Saccharomyces cerevisiae S288C: one gene and its partners. The protein of the gene in region 3 binds, or shares a complex with, the protein of the main gene of each other region. Each region holds a gene or a part of one and is shown on either strand. Other genes may lie near its edges. A codon is read from its position in the direction of its gene.

Evidence for each region. The genes of interacting proteins can lie anywhere in the genome.
Region 1: the proteins of TIM22 (region 3) and TIM9 are in contact, whole or in part, in a cryo-EM structure (PDB 6LO8), measured with the Saccharomyces cerevisiae proteins. Residues at the interface, in NP_010064.1 of Saccharomyces cerevisiae: Glu196 (codon at 1,505), Asp197 (codon at 1,502), Arg199 (codon at 1,496), Pro200 (codon at 1,493), Pro201 (codon at 1,490), Gln202 (codon at 1,487), Asn203 (codon at 1,484), Asp204 (codon at 1,481), Phe205 (codon at 1,478); in NP_010894.1 of Saccharomyces cerevisiae: Thr37 (codon at 1,685), Asp38 (codon at 1,688), Cys39 (codon at 1,691), Asn41 (codon at 1,697), Asp42 (codon at 1,700), Phe43 (codon at 1,703), Thr44 (codon at 1,706), Lys51 (codon at 1,727), Glu52 (codon at 1,730), Cys55 (codon at 1,739), Lys58 (codon at 1,748).
Region 2: the proteins of TIM22 (region 3) and TIM12 are in contact, whole or in part, in a cryo-EM structure (PDB 6LO8), measured with the Saccharomyces cerevisiae proteins. Residues at the interface, in NP_010064.1 of Saccharomyces cerevisiae: Ser41 (codon at 1,970), Cys141 (codon at 1,670), Glu144 (codon at 1,661), Ser145 (codon at 1,658), Leu146 (codon at 1,655), Arg147 (codon at 1,652), Ala148 (codon at 1,649), Lys149 (codon at 1,646), Asn150 (codon at 1,643), Asp197 (codon at 1,502), Gly198 (codon at 1,499), Arg199 (codon at 1,496); in NP_009649.1 of Saccharomyces cerevisiae: Cys44 (codon at 793), His47 (codon at 784), Glu48 (codon at 781), Gly49 (codon at 778), Phe50 (codon at 775), Gly51 (codon at 772), Thr56 (codon at 757), Lys57 (codon at 754), Gly58 (codon at 751), Glu59 (codon at 748), Cys61 (codon at 742), Cys62 (codon at 739), Arg65 (codon at 730).

The regions. Positions count from the first base shown.
Region 1 is NC_001137.3:115,635-118,066, forward strand, and holds TIM9 (protein transporter TIM9), read left to right. Parts: upstream 1-1,576; coding exon 1,577-1,840; downstream 1,841-2,432. Other genes in the region: Arf family guanine nucleotide exchange factor GEA2, read left to right, coding at 1-166; URA3 (orotidine-5'-phosphate decarboxylase), read left to right, coding at 533-1,336. UniProt on the Saccharomyces cerevisiae protein: Mitochondrial intermembrane chaperone that participates in the import and insertion of multi-pass transmembrane proteins into the mitochondrial inner membrane.
Region 2 is NC_001134.8:426,563-429,016, forward strand, and holds TIM12 (Tim12p), read right to left. Parts: upstream 923-2,454; coding exon 593-922; downstream 1-592. Other genes in the region: YBR090C (uncharacterized protein), read right to left, coding at 312-496; acid phosphatase PHO3, read right to left, coding at 1,136-2,454. UniProt on the Saccharomyces cerevisiae protein: Essential component of the TIM22 complex, a complex that mediates the import and insertion of multi-pass transmembrane proteins into the mitochondrial inner membrane.
Region 3 is NC_001136.10:66,517-71,676, forward strand, and holds TIM22 (translocation channel protein TIM22), read right to left. Parts: upstream 2,091-5,160; coding exon 1,467-2,090; downstream 1-1,466. Other genes in the region: YDL218W (uncharacterized protein), read left to right, coding at 1-930; COP9 signalosome catalytic subunit RRI1, read right to left, coding at 2,481-3,803; GDH2 (glutamate dehydrogenase (NAD(+))), read right to left, coding at 4,124-5,160. UniProt on the Saccharomyces cerevisiae protein: Essential core component of the TIM22 complex, a complex that mediates the import and insertion of multi-pass transmembrane proteins, such as mitochondrial carrier family members, into the mitochondrial inner membrane.

The sequences.
Region 1 (2,432 bases), on a different chromosome or scaffold from region 3:
ACTTGATAAGAAGAGTATTGAGAAGGGCAACGGTTCATCATCTCATGGATCTGCACATGAACAAACACCAGAGTCAAACGACGTTGAAATTGAGGCTACTGCGCCAATTGATGACAATACAGACGATGATAACAAACCGAAGTTATCTGATGTAGAAAAGGATTAAAGATGCTAAGAGATAGTGATGATATTTCATAAATAATGTAATTCTATATATGTTAATTACCTTTTTTGCGAGGCATATTTATGGTGAAGGATAAGTTTTGACCATCAAAGAAGGTTAATGTGGCTGTGGTTTCAGGGTCCATAAAGCTTTTCAATTCATCTTTTTTTTTTTTGTTCTTTTTTTTGATTCCGGTTTCTTTGAAATTTTTTTGATTCGGTAATCTCCGAGCAGAAGGAAGAACGAAGGAAGGAGCACAGACTTAGATTGGTATATATACGCATATGTGGTGTTGAAGAAACATGAAATTGCCCAGTATTCTTAACCCAACTGCACAGAACAAAAACCTGCAGGAAACGAAGATAAATCATGTCGAAAGCTACATATAAGGAACGTGCTGCTACTCATCCTAGTCCTGTTGCTGCCAAGCTATTTAATATCATGCACGAAAAGCAAACAAACTTGTGTGCTTCATTGGATGTTCGTACCACCAAGGAATTACTGGAGTTAGTTGAAGCATTAGGTCCCAAAATTTGTTTACTAAAAACACATGTGGATATCTTGACTGATTTTTCCATGGAGGGCACAGTTAAGCCGCTAAAGGCATTATCCGCCAAGTACAATTTTTTACTCTTCGAAGACAGAAAATTTGCTGACATTGGTAATACAGTCAAATTGCAGTACTCTGCGGGTGTATACAGAATAGCAGAATGGGCAGACATTACGAATGCACACGGTGTGGTGGGCCCAGGTATTGTTAGCGGTTTGAAGCAGGCGGCGGAAGAAGTAACAAAGGAACCTAGAGGCCTTTTGATGTTAGCAGAATTGTCATGCAAGGGCTCCCTAGCTACTGGAGAATATACTAAGGGTACTGTTGACATTGCGAAGAGCGACAAAGATTTTGTTATCGGCTTTATTGCTCAAAGAGACATGGGTGGAAGAGATGAAGGTTACGATTGGTTGATTATGACACCCGGTGTGGGTTTAGATGACAAGGGAGACGCATTGGGTCAACAGTATAGAACCGTGGATGATGTGGTCTCTACAGGATCTGACATTATTATTGTTGGAAGAGGACTATTTGCAAAGGGAAGGGATGCTAAGGTAGAGGGTGAACGTTACAGAAAAGCAGGCTGGGAAGCATATTTGAGAAGATGCGGCCAGCAAAACTAAAAAACTGTATTATAAGTAAATGCATGTATACTAAACTCACAAATTAGAGCTTCAATTTAATTATATCAGTTATTACCCGGGAATCTCGGTCGTAATGATTTCTATAATGACGAAAAAAAAAAAATTGGAAAGAAAAAGCTTCATGGCCTTTATAAAAAGGAACTATCCAATACCTCGCCAGAACCAAGTAACAGTATTTTACGGGGCACAAATCAAGAACAATAAGACAGGACTGTAAAGATGGACGCATTGAACTCCAAAGAACAACAAGAGTTCCAAAAAGTAGTGGAACAAAAGCAAATGAAGGATTTCATGCGTTTGTACTCTAATCTGGTAGAAAGATGTTTCACAGACTGTGTCAATGACTTCACAACATCAAAGCTAACCAATAAGGAACAAACATGCATCATGAAGTGCTCAGAAAAGTTCTTGAAGCATAGCGAACGTGTAGGGCAGCGTTTCCAAGAACAAAACGCTGCCTTGGGACAAGGCTTGGGCCGATAAGGTGTACTGGCGTATATATATCTAATTATGTATCTCTGGTGTAGCCCATTTTTAGCATGTAAATATAAAGAGAAACCATATCTAATCTAACCAAATCCAAACAAAATTCAATAGTTACTATCGCTTTTTTCTTTCTGTATCGCAAATAAGTGAAAATTAAAAAAGAAAGATTAAATTGGAAGTTGGATATGGGCTGGAACAGCAGCAGTAATCGGTATCGGGTTCGCCACTAATGACGTCCTACGATTGCACTCAACAGACCTTGACGCTCACGCCGTAGCGGGCGACAAGTCAAACGGAACAACCGTTGCCGTTCCCATCGGAGTCCGACCTAGGCCGAACTCCGTGAATTTCTGATAACAACGGTCGGTAAAGACTGGTTCCCCAGTATATTTCTTCTCTCAGGAGCAGGGGCCAATGCCAAAAGCGACATTAACCCGGAGGACAAGGCTCCACTGTGTTCCACCGAATTTCCCACCTGATAATATCTGATAACCCGCCCATAGGTGGGGATCCTTCTGTAAACAGGTTTCTTAATCGTAGGAATTACCACTGTTCCACTGCCAATCGCAGCTCCCAGAGTTTCGTTCCC
Region 2 (2,454 bases), on a different chromosome or scaffold from region 3:
GGAAGGGGGTGCACAGAACAGCAGTCCTTTAGAGGATACTACAGTAGAAAGCTAGAGTCCTGACTTACAACTTGAGCATGCCGTTATGGGCGGCTATTTCATTTCACCTGAACCGTATTAAAATATCATCTTCCTTGCTGCTACAACCTTCATTGTAGCCGGTTTATAAGATTACCATCATTGTCTACCCCTCTTTAACTTCTCCCGAAAAGCAGAGTTGCCCTTAGCTGTATCCTGTTCTAGCTGTGCTAAACTGTACGTTCTTATTAAGCCCATCCTCGTCCGCTGGGCTCACCCAGCGCCTTACATACTTTGCGAAAAAGTCGTTTTTCTGCTTGGTGTTAGGAGCTGTCTCCCATAGTGTAAACTCCCAGTATTGCCTCAACCTCACTTGCTGTACTTTATAGTTGCCGCGCCACCTAAAAAAAAAAACAAAAAAGACACCACCTAAAAAAACGGGTGAGGGGAATGCACGTGACCCAGGTGCGGGTACCATATAAATGTACTTCTAAAATTGTCTACACAGCTTATAATGCTATATATGCAGGTTACTATTATATACAAACAGCACAGACAGTCCTCATATTTACAGCTATTTTTTGGAATCATCAGCTATTTCTTTGGCCACAAATCGCGAATAATGTCGTAGCTGATTCTCTGGCCCGAAACCTCGTGTTTGTACAAATCCTCCAATGAGGCGATTGCTGTAATGCATCTTTGCCACACATCTGTCTATGCAGCATTGCTCACCTTTCGTTAGATCAGGCTCACCAAAGCCCTCATGCGGAATACATTTCTCAAGACACGTACTGAGAATATTGTTGAAAGTCGAGCACATCGCATCGAATTGCACTCCTGCAACGTCTAGCTTCTCTTGCGAGACCTCCTGGTTGCCCCTTAGACTATTTAAAAAGAACGACATCCTTTTCTTGGTGCACTTTAATATTATACGGGAGCTCCGATATCTATTTCAGCAATATAGACTACAATCAACTTTGCTGTTCTTACTTTTTAGTTAACTTTTTTCTTTTCATTCTGCCGCTAATCTACAAACTCGTTACCCTACTAGTACATAAAAGAAGATCAGAATCGATGGGTATTTATTTATATTTGCAATATTATTTATTTATACAATTTATTGTTTTAATAGGGTATCGTTGTAGTGAGTAGTATTCCAGTCCCAGTAGAAGGTCAATTCGGTGACGTTACTGACACTGCTGACGTTACAGACCTTTAGGAAGTCAGTACCAGCTACTCTCTTTTCAGCATAGTCGTAGAAATCATTGATTTCACAAGAGAACCCTGGGCCGGTGGAACAGGTTTCAATTGGAACGACAGCATCGTTAATGACGTATCTGACGTAGGTGTCGTTAGAACATTGGAATTTTTCGGTGTAGACACGAGCACCTTGAGGAACGTACCAGGACTTATGGAAGGTGTTGCCCATGAATGGAACGTATTCGGCAGTTAAGTTGTTTTTGTCGTCAATTATACCAGCGGTGGTCAAATAGTTTAGGATATCGGTATCGTGGGTAAAACTCAACCAGACTTTTAAGTCTTGAGTTTCACTTTGCTTTAACAACTTCAAAGTAGCGTTAAACAAGTTGGCACCGACGGATCTGATCATATCATAACCTGGTCCATCCTGGTAAAACGATACCAGGTCCTGGCCGTATGAGTAACGTACCAATTCATCTTCGGTGAAGATATCACAAACATCACTGTAGCCTCTAGCGTTCAATTCGTATGCACACCATGCAAACAAAGTGTTGGCGTCCTTTGAGGTCAAATTCAAACCCTTGTTTTCTTTGTTTAATCTCTTGGCAATGTCATCCAAGTATGTGGTATCGTATTTGTCCAAAATGTCATCGTTAGCATCTTCATCCCATCCTGGGCACGCATTACCAGCACTCAAAGTGTTTGCGCCGGCGGACATGGCTTCACTGACAGTCTGCAAGGAGATGTTGAATTGGTCACCTAAACCATCAATGAAATATTGAGCAGTGTCATGAACCCTTTCAGAACTAGCGGCGAAAATTGGGAAACTGGTTTGATTTTCGAACATGTAGCCATATTGCGCTAAAAACTCACGAGCATGTCTCTTAGCATCCATCTCACCAGTGTATGGATTCAAAACATTGTCTGAGTTGGCAAAAGTGGTTTCCATTTCCAAATCATCGTCATCACGGATGAAAAACTCGTAATCATCGTTCAAGAATGACAATGAGCCGTTGAATTGACGTGTGTAATTGCTCAACTTATACCATGTTTTCATGATGGTAGCACCTTTACTGTAAGTTGGGTATCTTTCACCATGTCTGGCAAGCATTTGCAATTGTTTCATTTCACAACCTTCAGGCAAGTCACGAGAAATACCATAGTCGCCAGGGAAAGAGAAGTATGGCCCGGCACCACCCAGGAATGGGAATATGTCTTCCTGAGTGCCAATTTTGG
Region 3 (5,160 bases):
TTAACACTTTTGAGATTTTCTCAATTTGCATCATCGGTTTTGGTGATGTCACTTTTGGCGTATGCCATCCACGCCTATGGAAATAGAGGTAATAAGAAAACCAACTTCACATTGGCAACAGGTGTCATTAGTGTGTTTTATCTGATTGCCTTAGGTATTTTGTGTCTGGCCCTACCCACATTGATCTACATAGGAATGTACTTCTGTGCCGAATTGATCGTTTGTATGCTATGGCTAGCAGCTTTCGTTGTTCTTGCCAAAGCTCAAGGTGAACGTAGCTGTAGCAACACTAATGCAGACGGATTATACTATAATCCGTACAGTGGCCAATATACTGCTGACAGTCATAGAAGAGCATGTAATTCTTCTCAGGCGGCAATCGCCTTTTCTGGCCTTTGCTTTGTACTGTTTTTGATCAGTGTGATATTACTGGGAATTAATGTCTTAACACCTATCAGGAAGCGTTATCAAACCCAAGGAATGTGGAGAAGCGGCGCTTCTATGGGTACAAAGCTCCATAGGTGGAGCGGACTAGCTTTAAGCGAGCCTTTTGAAGAAACAGCTGCTTACGATAACACCAATGTTAGGACCGGTGATGTCGAAGCAGGTGCAGGTGATAATGCTGCTTACACATCTGAACCGAATGGCGACGCACGCTATGCAACTAATGACCCCAATGGGCAGTACCATACTACCACCACCAACACACGTTACACCACAACAACAGCGGACCCTAAGACGCGTTACACCACCAACGATCGTAATCCTGGTTCTGCGAATGTCGCTAACAGTGCAGTGGACCAGCACGCTTACTCTACGGATGAGTCAGGTGATCGGTCTTATCAAGAAAAGGTCACAGAAGGAGCTCACTCTGGCGCTATGAGTGGTAGCACTGCAGAACCAAACAGGAACGTCAATCAAATGCCATAAATTCAATGATTTCCTTTTTGTTCGTCTATACCCTTCACATACTTTTTCTTTTTCTTTTTCTTTTCTTTGCTTAACGATTTGAATTGCTCCTGTTCTAATAATGGCGTCGTCTTTTAGAAAATCCTTATCAGGTGTGAATAATGCTTAATTTTTTTTATATATAATGATTTACTTTTATTACTTCTTATTTTTATATTTTCCTCTGTCAAATATGTGACTGAAATCTTCCAATTTATTAATATTAAAGTGTGACTATCACTTGAGTTTAGCGACAGTCTCTAACGCCTCGAATTCATCGACATGGGAAAATTGGAAAGGGTATCGTTTTTACACTTCCCATTTTCTTCCAGCAAAAATGATCGGCCCAGAGTCTAGTTAAAGCATGATTAATTCTCCCAGGGAATTTTTTTGCTTTACTAGTAACAGTAGTTCTGGAAATTATTAAGCGTTCTTAAATTCTGGGACGGTCGTGCAGAATATTAAGATAGGTGATATTTACAAATATAAAACATTCATCGTTCGTCGAAATTGGCTATTCATTCTTTAAAATCGTTTTGAGGTGGTCTACCATCCTCACTTTTCATATACAAATCAATTGCAGCTGAAAAGGCAGCAAACCCGGCACCACCCATTAAGGCAGCTTGTGGTCCAGCTTTGTATGCCAGCCCAGCACCGGTAAAAAACCCTGCGGTTACTCCGTTGTAAATATCATTTTTAGCTCTAAGTGACTCTATGACACACTCCACCCCAGCATATATCATACCAATGTAGCCAAAATTCTTAGCACTAGAGTAGGATTTTTTACCCATATCGGTAAATTGAAGTTTCATTTGCTGCCGGAAAGGTAAATCAGATATTTGCTGAACTGTTCTTGATATTCCACCCACACCTATATTTCCCGCAGTTGCAGTTGCTGCTGTATTTGCAGGTGTAGGTGTATGAAGAGGTGTATCATATGCCATTGACGCCATGAACAGGCCTAAAACACCACCCAGTGCAAACCCTGTTACACCACTCACAACTGATTTTCCAGGACAGGAAGTCATGAAGTTCATGATCATTTCAGCACCCCGTTCACCCTGTTCTTCCGGAGTTAGTTCATTATAAGGTTTCTTTTGAGCTGGACTTATCTGCTCCAAACCAAATCCTGTGTACACCATCTTCGTATAAAGTATTTAAAATCACAATTTCTTGATCTTATTTGGCAGCTATCTCTACTATCCCGTTTAGTACTATCCCGTTTAGTAGTGACAGAAAAATAGTATTTTGTCCTGAAAAGCTTCGGATTTTATATGTACGAAATGGATCCGAGGAAATGCTGTCTGTTTTATTAGAGAATTAAGTTGACTGATGCATCGTCTTTCTCTTCAGTTGTAAGCTCGATGCCATTTTATCAGTAAGACCAAAAACCAACACATAACGGCGTACGAAAATATCAAATTGTCACCCGGTATAGATATACTTATAGAGATTCAAGAAGGAATAACTATTAAAAGTACGTTGCAGATAAACATAAGCTATTGCAGCGTCATTGGAGCAACGTTAGGAATTCATAATGTAAAGGTGTCCTTGTAAAAACGTAACCGCTCATATTGTTTTATCTTTGACGCAAGTATTCGATTTTTTGCTCTTGCATAATCTGTCTCCAAGACATTTCTCTGTAACATATCATTGCCCTCATCATGACATCTTTCCTGATTGCTGTTCATGCGTTTTTTAGAATTGTGAAAATTGTCGGTAGACCTGCTGCTTCTTTCCACGCGATTTACATGAATGCTCGGTTCGCCGTTTATGCACAGACTAGTGTCAGTACTGTCGAACTCGGTAAGGTTTCTATCTTCCATATCTACGTCACTAGTATTATCACCTGAAAACATGCTTCCAAAGGAGCTTGTTTCAGTGCTATCCCCCCTTTGCGTATTGAGGCAGAACTGAGACCTTGTTGAACGGTTTTGATAGTCAATGTTTTTTTTATTTTCGTTGCTAACACGTTCACTGGTAGTAGCCAACTTAATCCTTGTTCTAACATTTTTGGAATCCATCAAATAGCTATACTGCTTCATTGAATCGATCAATCTATTTAATGATATTTGTTCTGACTCATCATCCTCTATTACGCAATGTAAGTTTAACTTTGTTTCAAATAGCGCTCGGTTCAATTCTGAATCAAATATGATTGTTTCTAGTTCATAGTATGAAGTGGCACTATTATCATCACTTTTACTTTCTATTGTCCTAAATGCACCCATTCTTAAAATTTTATCTTCCAGACTTTTCAAGGGATCGACCACAATTGCGACATATGGATCTTGGAATCTCTGGTTCAAATCCTGGGTTTGGATATCTATATTACTTAACCAACAGTCGTAACCAGGATGTGAATGGAACCAGCCAACAACATTCAGTTTAGCGCCCTTGTAATCTCGCCCATCACCACCGTCATTATGATTATACATCTCGTCGATATATTGAACCATATATTCGTATGACTCCAATTGTGCATTTACGCGAGTTTCTGTCCCTACTACGGGAAGATTGAAACAATCCATTACAACAATATTATCTTTTAATGTGAACCCCATTAATATGCCCATGATTTCAATATTTCCTCCACGAACTGCATAATGGGTGATCTTTTCACATGATAATTTTGATATAAGTACGTGGGTGTAACTCGGAATATCTGTACTACTTTGTTGTTTTAGTTTAGTTTTGAGCAAGGAAGATTGGCTTAGCGCATGAAATTCAGGTTCTTGCGACGGCTTGAATCGCATACTTGATAGCGCTATAGATTCAGTTAGTTCATCTTCCACGGTGTACCTTTCCTTTAGTAGTTGTCGTAATTCCTTTACAGTCTTATTTGAAAGTGACATGCTGCCTCCTGCAGTTTTTATTGATTTTCGATCGTTGTTATTCATTTTTAGTTTATTTGAAAAACCCTTTAATAAGAGCGCTTCCTGCGTAGCGCGCCTTTCCTAAAGTTTCAGCTGAAGCATGGCTCCCTGAGGAGAACTGCCTAGTATAATGGATAACTCGAAGGAAAAAATATCAAATGCTTTTTTTAGATTAAAAATAATGGACATATAAACAACTTTACTTAGTACACAATAAAACGCTGAGAAGAACATACACATATGTTTAATTTTCTTTTCTGACGGCAGAACTAATTTATACAAAACAATTTTATTGAAGCTCAAGCACTTGCCTCCGCTTCTCTTTTTAACCCACCAATAAATTCCAAGAATTTTCCAATGTTAACATCGATACCGTTCTGGTAAACAAAAGTGCTTGATAAGTAACTCGACAGAAGAACTTTCAAATAGCTCTCTGGAATGTTTTCCAATACGGACTGAGGCCCAGCAACATCAATCAGAATTTTTGGAATTATTTTATCCAACAATAGGTAGTTTCTTAATTTTAGATCATTGAGCCACAACTCTTGAGAAGCAACTAGATCGTCGTTCAATTTGTTTATAGTGAAGGACAATTGGTTTGAAATTTCTGAAATGTGGGTTCCATTTAGTTGATTCAAATTCCATAACTGACCAAACTCTAATTCAGCATTTTTCTGAATTCTTGACTGCACTTCTACAACGTACGACTTGTACAACGCAGACCTCTCACCACTAACATCTCCAATAAATTTGTGCACGAAGTCGTTATCGTTAAGCGCTAGTGAGGCCAACACTTCCATTGATGAAGATGTGACACCACCTTTGTTTGCAGAAGCATCTTTGAACAGAATACAGCCATGTTCCTCCAAAGCATTTTTAGCAGGTTGCGTTATAAATAGATTGGCACCCTCCACAATATATGGAATTTTACATTTCCCAGTCTTTTCGTCAACAAAATAATGTAGATTATTTAGAGTAATTGAGTTTGGTCTACCACCGCATGGAACAAAAATGTCGACATGATCCACAAATTTGAAAATTTGAGTATGAAAGGTGTTTCTGAAGGTTGTGCCGTTAGCTACAATTGTACCATTTGGTAGCATGATATCCATTGCATCCACAGAAACAAAAAATCCGTTGTTTGATAATTTGGAAGTGTCGAAATCGGAAATCATTTTCCTTTCATGTGCCAAGCGGCATAATTCATCTTTATCTAAACCTTTAGGATCACACAGGACACCTGAACCGTCCAGAATTGCCAAATAACATTCGTTTGGCGAAGATAAAAGAATTTCATTGGATCCCAAATCACCATCCGGACCACCAGTTTGGAATT